Linked DNA regions of Oryctolagus cuniculus. The protein of the gene in region 2 purifies or fractionates together with the protein of the main gene of each other region. This does not show direct contact. Links are inferred from orthologs where the notes say so. Each region holds a gene or a part of one and is shown on either strand. Other genes may lie near its edges.

What was found.
Region 1: the proteins of EDC4 (region 2) and DCP1B purify together in Homo sapiens (affinity purification with mass spectrometry; 3 studies listed by BioGRID and IntAct, with this or other methods). This does not show direct contact. The link is inferred for Oryctolagus cuniculus from reciprocal best matches to the Homo sapiens genes EDC4 and DCP1B.
Region 3: the proteins of EDC4 (region 2) and DCP1A purify together in Homo sapiens (co-immunoprecipitation; 9 studies listed by BioGRID and IntAct, with this or other methods). This does not show direct contact. The link is inferred for Oryctolagus cuniculus from reciprocal best matches to the Homo sapiens genes EDC4 and DCP1A.
Region 4: the proteins of EDC4 (region 2) and XRN1 purify together in Homo sapiens (co-immunoprecipitation; 4 studies listed by BioGRID and IntAct, with this or other methods). This does not show direct contact. The link is inferred for Oryctolagus cuniculus from reciprocal best matches to the Homo sapiens genes EDC4 and XRN1.

The regions. Positions count from the first base shown.
Region 1 is NC_091440.1:99,743,674-99,747,348, reverse strand, and holds part of DCP1B (mRNA-decapping enzyme 1B), read left to right. Parts: intron 1-839; coding exon 840-1,670; intron 1,671-3,675. UniProt on the Homo sapiens protein: May play a role in the degradation of mRNAs, both in normal mRNA turnover and in nonsense-mediated mRNA decay. May remove the 7-methyl guanine cap structure from mRNA molecules, yielding a 5'-phosphorylated mRNA fragment and 7m-GDP.
Region 2 is NC_091449.1:51,123,627-51,127,301, forward strand, and holds part of EDC4 (enhancer of mRNA-decapping protein 4), read left to right. Parts: coding exon 1-17; intron 18-83; coding exon 84-283; intron 284-358; coding exon 359-489; intron 490-581; coding exon 582-735; intron 736-1,029; coding exon 1,030-1,463; intron 1,464-1,540; coding exon 1,541-1,645; intron 1,646-1,727; coding exon 1,728-1,880; intron 1,881-1,961; coding exon 1,962-1,998; intron 1,999-2,116; coding exon 2,117-2,294; intron 2,295-2,407; coding exon 2,408-2,563; intron 2,564-2,661; coding exon 2,662-2,777; intron 2,778-2,872; coding exon 2,873-3,038; intron 3,039-3,120; coding exon 3,121-3,307; intron 3,308-3,399; coding exon 3,400-3,619; intron 3,620-3,675. UniProt on the Homo sapiens protein: In the process of mRNA degradation, seems to play a role in mRNA decapping. Component of a complex containing DCP2 and DCP1A which functions in decapping of ARE-containing mRNAs. Promotes complex formation between DCP1A and DCP2.
Region 3 is NC_091441.1:96,540,877-96,544,551, forward strand, and holds part of DCP1A (mRNA-decapping enzyme 1A), read left to right. Parts: intron 1-76; coding exon 77-835; intron 836-3,675. UniProt on the Homo sapiens protein: Necessary for the degradation of mRNAs, both in normal mRNA turnover and in nonsense-mediated mRNA decay. Removes the 7-methyl guanine cap structure from mRNA molecules, yielding a 5'-phosphorylated mRNA fragment and 7m-GDP.
Region 4 is NC_091435.1:139,566,546-139,570,220, forward strand, and holds part of XRN1 (5'-3' exoribonuclease 1), read left to right. Parts: intron 1-943; coding exon 944-982; intron 983-1,320; coding exon 1,321-1,478; intron 1,479-1,900; coding exon 1,901-2,203; 3' UTR 2,204-3,675. UniProt on the Homo sapiens protein: Major 5'-3' exoribonuclease involved in mRNA decay. Required for the 5'-3'-processing of the G4 tetraplex-containing DNA and RNA substrates. The kinetic of hydrolysis is faster for G4 RNA tetraplex than for G4 DNA tetraplex and monomeric RNA tetraplex.

The sequences.
Region 1 (3,675 bases), on a different chromosome or scaffold from region 2:
AAAGGAGTAGCTTGGTAATTGGCCAGGCCAAGGTATATTGTATTTATCTGATGAATTTTTTTAAGATTTATTTATTTATTTGAGAGGCAGAGGCAGAGAGAGAGAAAGAGAGGTCTTCCATCTGCTGGTTCCTCCTCAAATGGCTAAAGCTGTTGGAATTGGGCTGAACCGAAACCAGGAGCCAGGAGCTTCCTCCAGGTCTCCCACGCAGGTGCAGGGGCCCAAGGACTTGGGCCATCCTCTACTGCTTTCCCAGGCCATAACAGGGAACTGGATTGGAAGTGGAGCAGCCAGGTCTTGAACTGGAGCCCACATGGGATGCCAGCACAGCAGGTAGCAGCTATGCCACAGTGCCAGCCCCTTGATAATGTTTTAAAAGCTACAGGTATATACTTGGAACAAACAAGTTAGAGATTCTAAGAAAAACTACCAGGAATGCTGAAACCTTCACATCCCTGTATATTCTCAGTATCTTCTTGTGGTCTGCAGGGTTAGATAAACTTTCCTTTGGAGGGGTTATTCCCCGGGTAGTGTGTCTAATTTCCTTCCACAGTGGTCCCAGCTGCAAGCCCGGGCCTCCAAGGAGCAGGTGCTGTCTGACCCATAGCATACACTAAGGTGTCAGCAGGGGCTTGGCTTGGGCTGTGGGGAAAAGGCTGTGCAGATTTTTCACTTGACGAAGGAAGCTTCAAATTTTGGTCATTCAACAAGGAAGTGTTTTGATGCTGCCCGAGCTATCCTTTATAAGTAGAGAAATCACCAGGCAGGCACACTAGGGCTCCACCCCGCCCCTCAGGAGTTTCTGTGGACCCATTTTCAGATTTCTTTATTTTTTCCAGACCTTAGACCCTGAACCCCAACACTTATCCTTGACAGCTCTGTTTGGGAAGCAGGACAGAGCCACAAGTTCAGAAGCCGTGGAGCCCCCACAGGCCCTCCAGGCCCAGCAGCAGCACGAGAAGCTCCCAGTAAGGCAAGGGGTCGTGCGCTCCCTGTCCTATGAGGAACCCAAAAGGCAGTCGCCGCCGGTGGAGAAGCAGCTCTGTCCAGCTATTCAGAAACTCATGGTCCGGGGCGCAGACCTCCACCCATGGTCAGAGCTGCCTGAGAGCCGGCCCCGTGAAGAGGGAAGCCCCCGTCCGGCCATCCCACCTGGGTCACCCTGTACCGCCAGGGCTGCTCATGCTCCACAGAGCGCTTGCAGAGCTCAGACCCTGCTGGAGAAGCTTCACAGCACGCCAGGGCCAGCGGACAAGCATGACCGTGGCACAGCAGCCCCTGCCGGGCCGGTTGCCCCCGGCTGCAGCACAGCTCTCGCCGCTGCCACCCCAGCCAAGGGCGTGGCGCAGCCGCAACTGCTATCTTTCAATGGCACCCTCCCGCCGCACACGCTAGGACCTCAGGCTCATGGGAAAGAGCGGGCCACGTTCCCTAGACAGACGGGCCCTCCCTCCAGCACCCCAGCAAGCAGTCCCCGGGTGGCAGCCCCTCCGGAGCTACTGAGGAAGCTGCAGGTGGTACCGCAGGAGCAGCAGCTGCCTGTGCCCACCCGGCCAGCCCTGGCAGCTAAGTTTCCTGCAGCAGCTCAGGGCTCTCGGACTGGGAAGCCCTTGGAGTCCTGGATCAACAAGACGACATCCGGCACAGGAAAGCAGGCTCGTTTCCTTCAGGTAACTATCGACCAAGGACCAGAAAAATAAAACAAGGGATCACTGTCATGCGGCGAAATGTATTTGTTTATTAGGCAGAAAGACAGAGCTCTCCCTCCAATGGCTCACTCCCCAAAATGCATCCGATAGCTGGGACTGGGCCAGGCCAAGGCCAGGAGCTGAATGGCAGGGACCCAAGTACTTGAGCCATCAGCTGCTGCTTCCCAGGGTGTGCGTCAGCAGGAAGCTGGAGTCAGGGGCAGGAGCCCGGACTTGAACTCAGGTACTCCCACGTGGGACACCCACATCTTAACCTCTAGGCCAACCGCTTGTCCCTGCAGTGAAATTTAGACTCCCCTCCTGTGCTGTAGGGACTGCACGTCACGCACATTTCTGTTCAGCGCAGGAGCTGAGAACCCCGTGCGTGCATCTCATTGCGTCCTTAACTTTCTGCTGGGCGGACGGTTGCTGCTCCCGCCCCCTGCCATTAGCCGTAGTTTACTTGAAGAGTTCTCACTTCATACTGTCACCGGGTGTGAGGACCAGTGTAGACATGGAAAACACTCCCACCTGTGATGGTGGAGCGTCCATGTAGTCTGCTTTGAAGTCATCCTTCGATACCAAACAACTCCCACCTTGTTTTATCAGTCCATAGTAAACGATCTTTTACTCATTGACTTAGTAAATATTTTGAGCACTTTCTGCATGTCAGGCCTTGTGCTATATAATGGTGAAGAAAAATCCCTCCCTCTCCGGAGCCTGTAATCCTGGAGATTCTTGAAGGAAACAGGAAACATATTAATGCTTAAAGGTCCAGCCTGTTTTTATTTATCCCTAGGTCATCAGTACAGAATAGTTAAGATCGGGAGAGGGATACGTGTGCCACCCACCCGCAACTCCCAGTGCCAGAGGGGAATGTTGTCCATTTCAGAAAGATCCCATTCTTCAGGGCAGGTGGCTCCGTGTGCCGGTCAGTAACTTGGAACAGTGCGCAGACCACAGCCTGGGGGCAGCACCTGCAGGTCTGGCTCAGAGCCCTGTGCATTTGCTGACCAGGCATTGGGTTTCAAAACTGGGAAGTGCGCTCTACTTGTTTTATAGGCCATGTAGCTTCTGACGGTGCCTCGAAAATCTTGCCTTTAGGGAAGTAAAGACCTTAGGCGTGCACCCTAAGTGCATGTGTATGTGAGATGTCGAGACAGAGCCTTCTCGCTATTTATCGAAAGTCCTAACTCTGAGTACCCTCATTTCAGTGGAACATTGTCCCCTTTGTAAGACTTTTTTGCTTTTTTTCCCCCCTCTCTGTGGTAATTTAGAATCAGAAAACTGGGGTTAATAGTTTGACTTAAATTTCTGCATGTATAATTCTCTTCCAGTACTCACAAATGTCAGGAGCCAAGTAAGGAAAGTGTACATTTTGTCAGCCCACACTGTGCTCTTCTTACGGCTGCCACTTCTCCCCTGGGGCAGCCACTCTCAGCACCTCTCCCTGGAGCAGCAGCGAGGGCCAAGGCACAAGCAACTCACCCGCCTGGCTCCTGTAGGCTTCCTTCTGCGCGGGGTGCCACAGGGCCTGCATCATGCTGGCCTCCGTGCCCTTCTCACAGGTTCTTTGGGGTATTAGGAGGCTGATCGATGACTTTCCTTTTTCTTCCCTGAGTTTGCACCAGTGAGCGCTGTAGGAGTCACTCAGCTGGGGATCAAAATGTCACTTGCGTAACAGAAAGTTATTGGAGAACTTGGTTTTAGGTCTGTTAGCCAAGTGAGTTAGACGCAGACAGGTGAGTCGCTGGCACTGCCGAGTAATGCCAAGCCTGTCCCCACACCTCAGCCTGGAACAGCAGAAAGAAGGGGTGAGGGCAGCAGAGGAGCAAGGGGCTTATCCCACAACCCCCGCTCCCCAAGGTAGGGCTGAGGGGCCTGCCCCTAACACGTAAGAGCCACATGCTCGGACACTGTGGGCCTTAGGCCAGCGCAGTGGCCAGCTGGCCCCGGGCAGGCCAGTGGGCCTGAGTGTACGCTGCCC
Region 2 (3,675 bases):
ATCCCATGAGGACTTTGGTGAGCGAAGGGTGAAAGGGAAGCCAGTTGGATTCACTGGGGCCAGAGATCTGACTCACATGTTAGCTTTCCCCACAGCATTTGGAGAGTCTCGATCTGAACTAGGCTCTGAAGGCCTGGGATCTGCCTCTCCTGGCTCCCAGCCTGACCTGCGACGCATTGTAGAGCTGCCTGCACCTGCTGACTTCCTCAGTCTGAGCAGTGAGACCAAACCCAAGTTAATGACACCTGATGCCTTCATGACGCCCACTGCCTCCCTACAGCAGGTACTTCCCCAGGGTAGGGGGACCTGGGAGTGCCCCACCCACAGGCCACAGCCCTTACTCTTTACATCTCCCCAGATCACTGCATCCCCTAGCAGCAGCAGCAGCAGCAGCAGCAGTAGCAGCAGCAGTAGCAGTAGCAGCAGCAGCTCTCTTACAGCTGTGTCTGCTATGAGCAGCACTTCAGCTGTGGAGCCCTCCTTGCCAAGGTGAGGCGAGGGTCAGACATGGAGTATGGGAGGGTCTGGTTTCAAGTAATGCCAAGCTTTGGCTGCTCATACCTCAGCCTTCCTGCCACCAGGCCACCCGAGGAGCTGACCTTGAGCCCCAAGTTGCAGCTGGACGGCAGTCTGACAGTGAGTGGCAGCAGCAGCCTTCAGGCAAGCCCACGCAGCCTCCTGCCTGGCCTACTCCCAGGCCCAGCCGACAAATTGACTCCCAAAGGGCCTGGGCAGGTGTGTGTGTGTGTGTGAAGTACAAGGTAGCAAGTAGATGGCAGCAGGAAAGGTTGGCAGTCGTCTGCTCCCATACACCCTTTCTGCTGGCCCTGCTCTGCTCCACTGCTTCCTGTTTCTCCTGAGGTCATGTCGACCTCCCCATCCCTCCCTCCTTTCCTGGGCTGTGGTGCTGTTTTTGACCTATACCCCGCTTCACCGCTGTCTCTCGCCAGTACTAATACCAGTGTCTTAGATCTGTGCTTTGCCACTCCCCGGTCCATCACTTAATCCCCCATCTTTGGCCCACCTCAGGTACCTCCTGCTGCCTCTGCACTGTCCTTGGAGCTGCAGGAAGTAGAACCTCTAGGACTACCCCAGGCCTCCCCCAGCCGTACCCGTTCCCCTGATGTTATCTCTTCGGCTTCCACTGCCCTGTCCCAGGACATCCCTGAGATTGCGTCTGAGGCCCTGTCCCGTGGCTTTGGCTCCTCTGCCCCTGAGGGCCTTGAGCCAGACAGTATGGCCTCAGCTGCCTCAGCACTACACCTGCTATCCCCACGGCCCCGTCCAGGGCCCGAGCTTGGCCCCCAGCTTGGCCTAGATGGAGGCCCTGGGGACGGAGATCGGCATAGTACCCCTTCCCTCCTGGAGGCAGCCTTGACCCAGGAGGCTGTGACTCCTGATAGTCAGGTCTGGCCTACGGCGCCTGATATTACTCGTGAGACCTGTCCCACTCTGGCAGAGAGGTGAGGAGCTTAAAAGGGGAGAAGTGGTGGGAAGGGCTTCCTATAGTGATTCACTGCTAAGTTGGACTTTCCTCCAGCCCCAGGAACGGCCTCCAGGAAAAGCACAAGAGCCTGGCCTTCCACCGACCACCTTATCACCTGCTGCAGCAACATGATAGCCAGGACACTAGTGCTGAGCAAAGGTGGGCACCACCCCACACCATTCCCCTCATAGGGGAGGGCAACGGGTGGTCAGATACTCAGCCCTCCCTCTGCCTCCCACAGTGACCATGATGATGAGGTGGCCAGCCTTGCTTCTGCCTCAGGAGGCTTTGGCACCAAAGTTCCCCCTCCTCGGCTGCCTGTCAAGGACTGGAAAACCAAGGGATCTCCTCGGGCTTCACCCAAGCTCAAGCGGAAAAGCAAGAAGGATGATGGGTAAGGGGGATCCTGGGACCAAGGAAAGGGATGGTCTCCTGGCTACCAGACATGGCCTGAGGTGCTTCTCACCTATGGCAGGAATTCAGCCGTGGGATCCCGGCTTACAGAGCACCAGGTAAGAACAAGCACGCCTTCCTTCTCATGGGACCCCATCCTGTAAGTGTGGGAAAGGACTTTGGGGCATTCCCTGGTCTGTGTGGTGTCTGGTGTGTGACTGTCAGTACTGCTGGCAGGTGGCAGAGCCCCCTGAGGACTGGCCAGCATTAATTTGGCAACAGCAGAGAGAGCTGGCAGAGCTGCGGCACAACCAAGAAGAACTGCTGCAGCGCCTGTGTACCCAGCTCGAAGGCCTGCAGAGCACGGTCACAGGCCATGTGGAACGAGCACTAGAGACTCGGCATGAACAGGAACGTATCCTTGAGGGTCGTAGCACAGTCCAGCATAGCACAGAAGTAGAGGCAGCATCCTTGGCCCAGGAAGGGGTATGGCAGCTGTTCCAGACCTGTTCCTTAGCTGCAGTGCAGAGCGGCGGCTGGAGCGGGCACTGGCTGAGGGGCAGCAGCGGGGTGGGCAGCTGCAGGAGCAGCTGACCCAGCAGCTTTCCCAGGCACTGTCTTCAGCTGTGGCTGGGCGGCTGGAGCGCAGCATTCGGGATGAAATCAAGAAGACGGTTCCTCCGTGTGAGTTCTGTGTGAAGACTTGCTTTGGGTGGGCCAGGTGGGGGTGGGTGTGCTTGTCAAATTTCCTTCCCTGACTCTACCTGCCCCTTGCTCCTCAGGTGTCTCCAGGAGTCTGGAGCCCGTGGCAGGTCAACTGAGTAACTCAGTGGCTACCAAGCTCACAGCTGTGGAGGGCAGCATGAAAGAGAACATCTCTAAACTGCTCAAGTCCAAGGTGATACAGGACCTAAGATGGTAGGGGGTGAGGTGTTGGTGGGCTTAGGCCAAGGTGGGCTCAGGGTTTCAACTCAGCCCCTCCCTCCGCATTAGAACTTGACAGATGCCATTGCCCGAGCAGCTGCAGACACATTACAGGGGCCAATGCAGGCTGCTTACCGTGAAGCCTTCCAGAGTGTGGTGCTGCCTGCCTTTGAGAAGAGCTGCCAGGCCATGTTCCAGCAGATCAATGATAGCTTCCGGCTGGGCACACAGGAATGTGAGTGGGGTCATATGCCCCGGCGTGGGCGGGGCTGTCCTCTCTTACCAGTCTTGTCACAGTCCCTGCGGTTACCCTTCAGACTTGCAGCAGCTAGAAAGTCACATGAAGAGCCGGAAAGCACGGGAACAGGAAGCTCGGGAACCTGTGCTGGCTCAGCTGCGGGGCCTGGTCAGCACGCTGCAAAGTGCCACTGAGCAGATGGCGGCCACTGTGTCCAGCAGCGTTCGGGCTGAGGTGCAGCACCAACTGCACGTGGCTGTGGGCAGGTGTGTGAGTGGGGCATTAGCCGAGGTAGTGGGTTTGGGGAGGCTCACATTGGGCGCCCTGTCCACCTTATCGGTGTTGCTTTCATTTGCAGCCTGCAGGAGTCAATTTTAGCACAGGTACAACGTATCGTTAAAGGTGAGGTGAGCGTGGCACTCAAGGAGCAGCAGGCTGCTGTCACCTCCAGCATCATGCAGGCCATGCGCTCAGCTGCTGGCACACCTGTCCCCTCTGCCCATCTCGACTGCCAGGCCCAGCAAGCCCATATCCTGCAGCTGCTGCAGCAGGGCCACCTCAATCAGGCCTTCCAGCAGGTACAACAGTTATTTGGTCTGGGTAGGGGTCAGGTGAATCCTAAGCAGGCCCATAC
Region 3 (3,675 bases), on a different chromosome or scaffold from region 2:
GTTGTTAGGTAACAAGTTTGGTTACAGTGATTTGCCAGAGGTTTCTTTTAACTAAGTGGTGTGATTTGTTTTTCAGTCTGCTCCGTCTGGACACAAACATCTGACGGTAGAAGAGCTATTCGGAACCTCTTTGCCAAAGGAACAGCCCGCAGTCATGGGTCTGGATTCAGAAGAAGTGGAGAAGCTGCCGGGAGAGGCCTCCCAGAAAGAACCCAGCTCCTTCCTTCCATTCCCCTTTGAGCAAGCAGGAGGAGGCCTTCCATCAGAAAACCCGGGTGTCCATTCTGCTGCCCACCACTCAGTCCAGCCAGAAGTCCCCACCCCGGTGCTAATCACCCCAGCCTCCATCACACACTCCAGTGAAAAGCATGCCCCAAGCTACACAATCCCATTGAGCCCCGTTCTCAGCCCCACTCTGCCAGGTGACGCCCCTGCTGCGCAGGTTCCCCCCAGCCTGTCTCGAAACAGCACTATGATGCAAGCAGTGAAGACCACGCCTAGACAGAGGTCTCCACTGCTGAACCAGCCTGTCTCTGAGCTAAGCCACAGCAGTCTGATTGCCAGCCAGAGTCCCTTCAGAGCCCCACTGAGCGTGACAAACCCAGCTGGAGCATCCCTCCCAAGCGTTGATCTTCTGCATAAACTCAGGTTGACTCCACAGCATGACCAAATACAGACGCAGACACTTGGGAAAGGAGCAGTGGCACCCACCCTGTGCCCAGCAGCTGGCCAGCTGGCCACACCTGAGAGCTTCATCGAGCCTCCCTCTAAGACCGCGGCAGCGAGAGCAGCAGCCTCAGCCTCCTTGAGCAACATGGTGCTTGCTCCCCTTCAGGTAGTGGCAACAGAGGCGGGGTGGGCAGGGTGGGTAACTGATTGGATGAGACTAACTGCAAAGACCTTGATTTTTACTGATGTGAGACAGGATAGTTTGAAAGAATTATCTCTAAAGGAAACCAAGGACCAGGAGAAAGGGGAAGGAGAATCCCCCCCACCCCGTGACCAACCAAGTAATTACTAGACAATGGTGTAACTCAGTTTCACTTTCCAGAATTATCCCACTGATAACAGATAAAAAAACCACGTTTATATTGCCTAAGTATGCACTATAGGATTTTTTTTTCATCTGTCTTGCTTTTTGTTTTTTAGATTATTTATTTGAAAGTAGAGCAACAGAGAGAGATCGTCCATCCACTAGTTCACTACCTAGATGCCAGATAGCCTCAACAGCCAGGTCTGGATCAGGTCAAAGCTGGGAGACTGGAACTCCATTCTGGTCTCCCACACAGAGGGCAGGGGCCCAAGCACTTGGGCTATCTTCTGCTGCCTTCCCAGGTGTATTAGCAGGGTGCTGGATCAGAAGTGGAGCAGCCAGAATTCAAAGCAGCCCTTCAATATGGAATGCTGGAGTCCCAAGTGGCAACTTAACCCACTGCACCACAGTGCCAGCCCCTGTCTGTCTTGGTTCAGGGTCAGGAAGATCCCCAGATTATCCTGAACTTAGTTCCCATTCCCAGCTCCCTCAGTACTTTGTTTTCAGAGCCTGGGAAGTCTCTGAGCAGAGTGAGGTGCCATGAAGGAAGAGGGCGGCACTCGGGTTAGAGCTGGCAGGGCCTGGATCAAGAAGTGTGTGCATGTGGATATGTTGAGATGTCTCATCAGTGGGACTCAGTGGTAGATCAGGTGTAGAGGAAAAACAGATTTATCCCTCACAGTAATTCATAAGTGTGGGATATGCAAACGAGAAAACCAGATTGGGTGATTTGTGCAAGGTCACGGAACTGGAATAGTATAAAACCTGCTACTCTGCATCAGTACTGAGTCCCTATAGGACCTTTAATAATGCCCTTTAATAATAGTGATAGGAACCGGTGCTGTGACATGGTGGGTAAAGCTGCCACCTGTGGTGCCGGCATCTCATTTGAGCATCAGTTTGAGTCTCAGCTGTTGTACCTCTGATCCTTCCCCTACGAATGTGCCTGGGAAAGCAGCAAGGGATGGCCCAAGTGCTTGGGGCCCTTCACCTACGTGGGAGACCCAGAAGACACTCCTGGCTCCTGGCTTCAGACTGGCTCAGGCTCTGGCCATTGTGGCCATTTGGAGAGTGAACCAGCAGAAGGAAGATCTCTTTCATGCTCTCGCTTGCTCACTCTCTAACTCTGCCTTTCAAATAAATAATCAAATCTGTAACAATGATGATAATCCCCAATCTTAACATTGTACCAAATAATGTATGGAAAAGCCCATCATGGTTGCTATGTATTATTTCTTAACTTTTTTGTTCCATTCCTTTGAAATCTTGTAGTGATAGAGGGGAAACTTAGGGTCTTGGTAGCATTTATATTGTCTTCCTCCAGCCCTTTCTCTGTGTTACAGAGAGGAGAGAATATTCTGTTAAACAGACATGCCTGCTACCACTGCTGCAGGATTCAAGAAACACAACAGCAGTCCTTTTTATCCCTAAGACTTACCTAAGGGCCAGTGCTGAGGCATAGCAGGTAAAGCCACTGCATATGGTGCTAGCATCCCATATGGGTGCTGGTTCAAGTCCCAGCAGCTCTACTTCCAATCCAGGACTCTGCTATGGCCTGGGAAAGCAGTAGACGTTGACCCAGATCCTTGGGCCCCTGCACCCATTTAGGAGACCTAGAAGTTCCTGTCTCCTGGCTTTGGATCAGCCCAGCTCCAGCCGTTGCAACCGTCTGGGTAATGAATCAGCAAATGGAAGATCTTTCTCTCTCTCTCTCTCTCTCTTTCTTTCTTTCTCTCTCTCTCTCTCTCTCTCTCTCTCTCTCTCTCTCTCTCTCTCTCTCCTCTCCCCCTCTCCCCCTCTCTCCCTCTCACTCTACCTCTGCAATTCCACATTTCAAATAAATTATAAATCTGTTTAAAGAAAATGTGCCACTGTGGCTAGAGGAACCATTCTGGAAAAAAAAAAAAAAAAGACCTTTCTATTTATGAATTGATTGATTGATTTGAAAGGATGATAGGGAGAAACAGATCTTCCATCTGCTGTTTCAATCCCTAAGTGTCCTCAACAAGCTGGGCCAGGGCTGAGCTAAAACCAGGAGCCAGAAACTCCACCTTGGTCTGCCATGTGGGTACAGGGGTCCAGGCATGCAGGGTGTTGTAGTGGAAGTGAAGACCAGGGTGAGAACTGGCACTCTGATACAGGATGCCAATGTGGTAAGTGGCAGTCTAACCCACTGCACCACAATGCCAGCCCCACACCAGCATTCTTGGACACTGCCCTCTGCAGCCTGGAGATAGCACCCTGCCCTAGCCTCCTTCTTGGCAGGGCATGCTTCCCTGCGTATAAATTTCCATTTACACAGCAGTAAATACAAAGACCAGGGCTTCATAGAGTTCTCATGTCTTTGCTCTACAAGTTGTCTCTCTCCAATGAATGAGGAAAAACTGCATGTGAAAGGCTGACTCTGGGTAGCAGCTGTTCAGTACTACCTGTCCAGGTTTAAACAGCCTGTTACCAGGTGTCATGCTGCCAACATCTGTCATTTTTACAGACTCAACAGCAAAAATACGCCTGCACAGCTCCCAACTCTGAGATACAGGTTTCTGCTTTGTTCCTTAGGGACTACTTAAGCACACCTTTCATCGGGGGAACTGCAGGGGGAGGTTGAGTCATTGTCACAGTCCTGTCAGCCTCTTCCCTTG
Region 4 (3,675 bases), on a different chromosome or scaffold from region 2:
AAACAGAAGCTTTCTATCTCACAATCTTTCAAACAATAAACAAATCAACTTAAAAAAGTGTCTTATGAGAATAAGGAACCCTAAAGGAAATAATTGTTAACTCCCTTTTTATTACCAATATTTTACAGCTTGATAATTTTACCTTTTTCATATTTACCTTTTCATGTTGTCTAATTTATTCATACCTGTACCAGGAATTTTAAGGTTATAATTGAAATGTTTTTGGTCTTTAGTAGGTATTCTCCAAATGTTCCAGTTATGAATACATAGCAGCCAAAAGATGTGAACAGTATTTGGCGTCTTTTCAGTAGTTCTTAACATTATGACTCCCGTCAAACTTGCTTGTTGGCAGTATCAAGACCTAATTTTCTAAATCTTATTAGTGTTTTCCAAATTAAAGGTTTTCTTCATCCTGGGAATTGTTATGTATAATTAATAATACTAAAATATATTATGATTCTTTTTCCCTGATGCAAAAATTCCTCAAGTGGCTGAATTTTAACTAAGCTACACTGTTTTAGGCTGCTTTTTTCTCTCTCTGTAAAGGTTTGAACCTAGTGCATATCTTCTTTAGTGACAATGAGCTGCTGCCTTGATTATCACCATTTTTAATGCAGTTGTTCACAAATGCTGCATTGATGTTAGCTGTCTACATAAGAATCACCTATGGATTTTGTTAGTAAATACTTATTTCTGGGCCCTTCAGGGTCTGGTTTACAAAGTTTGAGGCCCTGCCCAGAAGTCTATATTTAGCAGGTTCCCTAGGTAATTCAGATACACACAGCAGGTTTGGGAATCATTGGTTTGATGCATTTTTAATAAAAAAAAATGTAAATGAAAAAATCCTTGAATTACAAATACTAGAATAGGGAAAAGAAAGATTTTGCATGTCATATGAAAATGATCAGATTTCAGGACTTGAGCTTTTTTGGTTTTCTTATAGGCTGGGATCACTATGGAAGCAACTTAGCATTGGGGGCAGGTGAGATTCTTAAGACTTCTTTGTGCCCAGGATTTTCTCTCCCAAATGACAGTATCATGACCCTGTTATTTTTTAATATAATTTCAAATATTCCTAAAGTTTATGTCAGCGTACGATACCCTTAGTCTTTGCATGCCAGCATAATGATAAATTCCTTTCTGTAGAAAGTCCAAAGAAGGGCTGCTAGGGTTGAATGTTCTAAGCAGAAGTTATAGGTTAAATTGGACATTTTGCCAAAGGGAAAAAAAAAAAAAAAGGCTAACAGAAGAAGGTCTTAAATGTTAGGGCTTCGATAATTCTGTTTTACTAAGAGAAAGATTTTCTGTGGTTTTTAACAGCTAACATAATGCCTCCATCTCATCTCTTCGGCTCAATGCCGTGGGGACCACCAGTACCAGTTCCTGGGAAGCCCTTCCATCATCCTCCATATTCTGGGACCATGCCCATGGCTGGAGTGATGCCAGGTGGTGTGCATAATCAGTTCATACCTCTGCAGGTGAGACCTGGAAAAATAATTATTATCTTCTTAAGGGAATTATTGTTTCAAATGCTCAAAGACTATATATTTATTCAGTTTTATTTTTTCAGTGCCAGCTCAAAATCCAGTACTGGTCTGAGTACTCTGTCCTTGCTAAGTTTGTGTTCTTCTAAATAATAACTGTTGTAGCAAGTAATACTGTACTGTTCTACCACAAAGTGATAGAAAAACATAATTTTTTAATATTTTACAGAGAATCTTTAAATTTTTGTAACCAAATTCTTTTAGTATTTTATTACTAAATTCTGGAGGTTAAAGTGGAAGTCACAAATCAACAGTTACAACTGTTAGCAGCATCATTTATGGTATCATTTGACACTAGGATTTATTTGTGGTTTTTTTGCTTATATTATTAATTAATGATATTTTTATTCCTAAAGGTTACCAAAAAAAGGGTTGCAAACAAAAAGATCATTGAGAATAAGGAGGCCCAGAGTTCTTCTCAAACCACTCCAGCTAAGACTAACCAGCCAGGATCTCCTGATGGCCCCAAAGGGAGTCTGCAGGACCGCCCATCGGCTTCCCTAAAGCCCTCTGAGACTGCGCCGCCTTCGTCTTCTATTCAAGTTGAAGCTGCCTCTCAGGGCCATGGTGCGTCTCACCGTAAGTCAGCACCAAGTTCTTCAAGAAGAAAATCAAGAAAACTGGCTGTCAATTTTGGCATTTCTAAACCTTCTGAATAAATTTGGTACTTGGAATTCAATTAATTTGTTTACTTTGCATCACCTTTTTTACAGGTCCATATCCATGTCTCATAAAAAATGAGCATACTACTATTTTAAAATAATAGGTTTAAAGTGAGAAGTTTTCCTTTTTAAGATGCCAGGCACTTTTCATGCTATTTAAAGGTTAAATATCAGATTGTGCACTTTAAATACGTGCAGTTTGTTGTGCATCAGTTATGCCTCAATAAAGCTGTAAAAAAAAAAAAAAAACTAAATTAAACCTTGTGCTAAAATAGTATGAGTGGGCTAAGCATTAAAATGTACCACTCTAACCACTGGCCTCCTCGTTAGAAATATCCCCAACTATGAATTAGACACCCTTTTAGCAATAATAGTAAAACTTTGTTTTACATTATCATTGGGGTATAATTAATTGGAGCATGAAAATTGAGCCTCAAGTATGATTTACTAAACGTAAGGATTCTTTTTCTCTTTTTAATGATGTAACAAAATGAATCAAGAGAACGGCTCTTCTGTATGTGTATTTTAACTTCTATTCTCTGTCCCTGAGGGGCCTGTGAAATGATCACACTTGTTGTGGTGCTGCCAGTTTTGCTTTATTCTCAATTTTGTACCAAAGCAACTTTAGATTACTGATCAGAAGAATATTTCATTTAATTGTTAAGAAACATAAATAGCAATCTAGATTTGAGTTAGTACTTTAAAAGTTTTCTAGATTATTCAAGAACCAGCATTAGTAATTTCTAATAAAATTGTTTCAAAATCTACAGGGTACAGTTACTACAGATTTATCTTCTATAGAATAAAGAACAAAATATGAATCACGTTGTTACTATTTTGTGTAGCTTTTGATCTGCTTACTTAACATACGTGAGAGCTCCAGTGTTGGTCCATGTGTAATACTTCTTGGGAGTGATGGAATTCAATTTTTTTTAAGTCTAAGGTGTGCTGTGATACAGGCACAATCCGTTTGTGATGTACATTATTTACTGCCTGTCTCATTGGAGTTCTGTAATTTTAGCTTTATGCAAACTGTTCATTGATGCTGGTGTTTCGTCTTTGCATGTCATGTGGAGGTGTGTTGGTCATATTATAACTGTTGAAATTATTTTAGAAAATGTCTCAGTGGTACCAGGGCCTGGGTTTTTATAGATATATATATGTATATGTGTGTATAATATATATATTTATCCTTTAGTTTTTGTGATATGCTTATATTTTTAAAGAAGTAAGTTATACTTTTTTAAAGAACCACAATCTTTATATGGAGCTGCTTATGATTATATCTGATTTCATTTAGCACATTGAAAGCTTTGCCATGAGTCTCAGTCTGCTTGTTTTTTTAAATGCTGGTATTTCTTTCTCTAATTGCTGGTTCCAGAGTTTCTCTAGCTATGAGGAGCATATTTGTATTTTAGTAGTGCCTTTTGTATAAGTGATAAATGGTATTTATTCATCATTTATTGTAG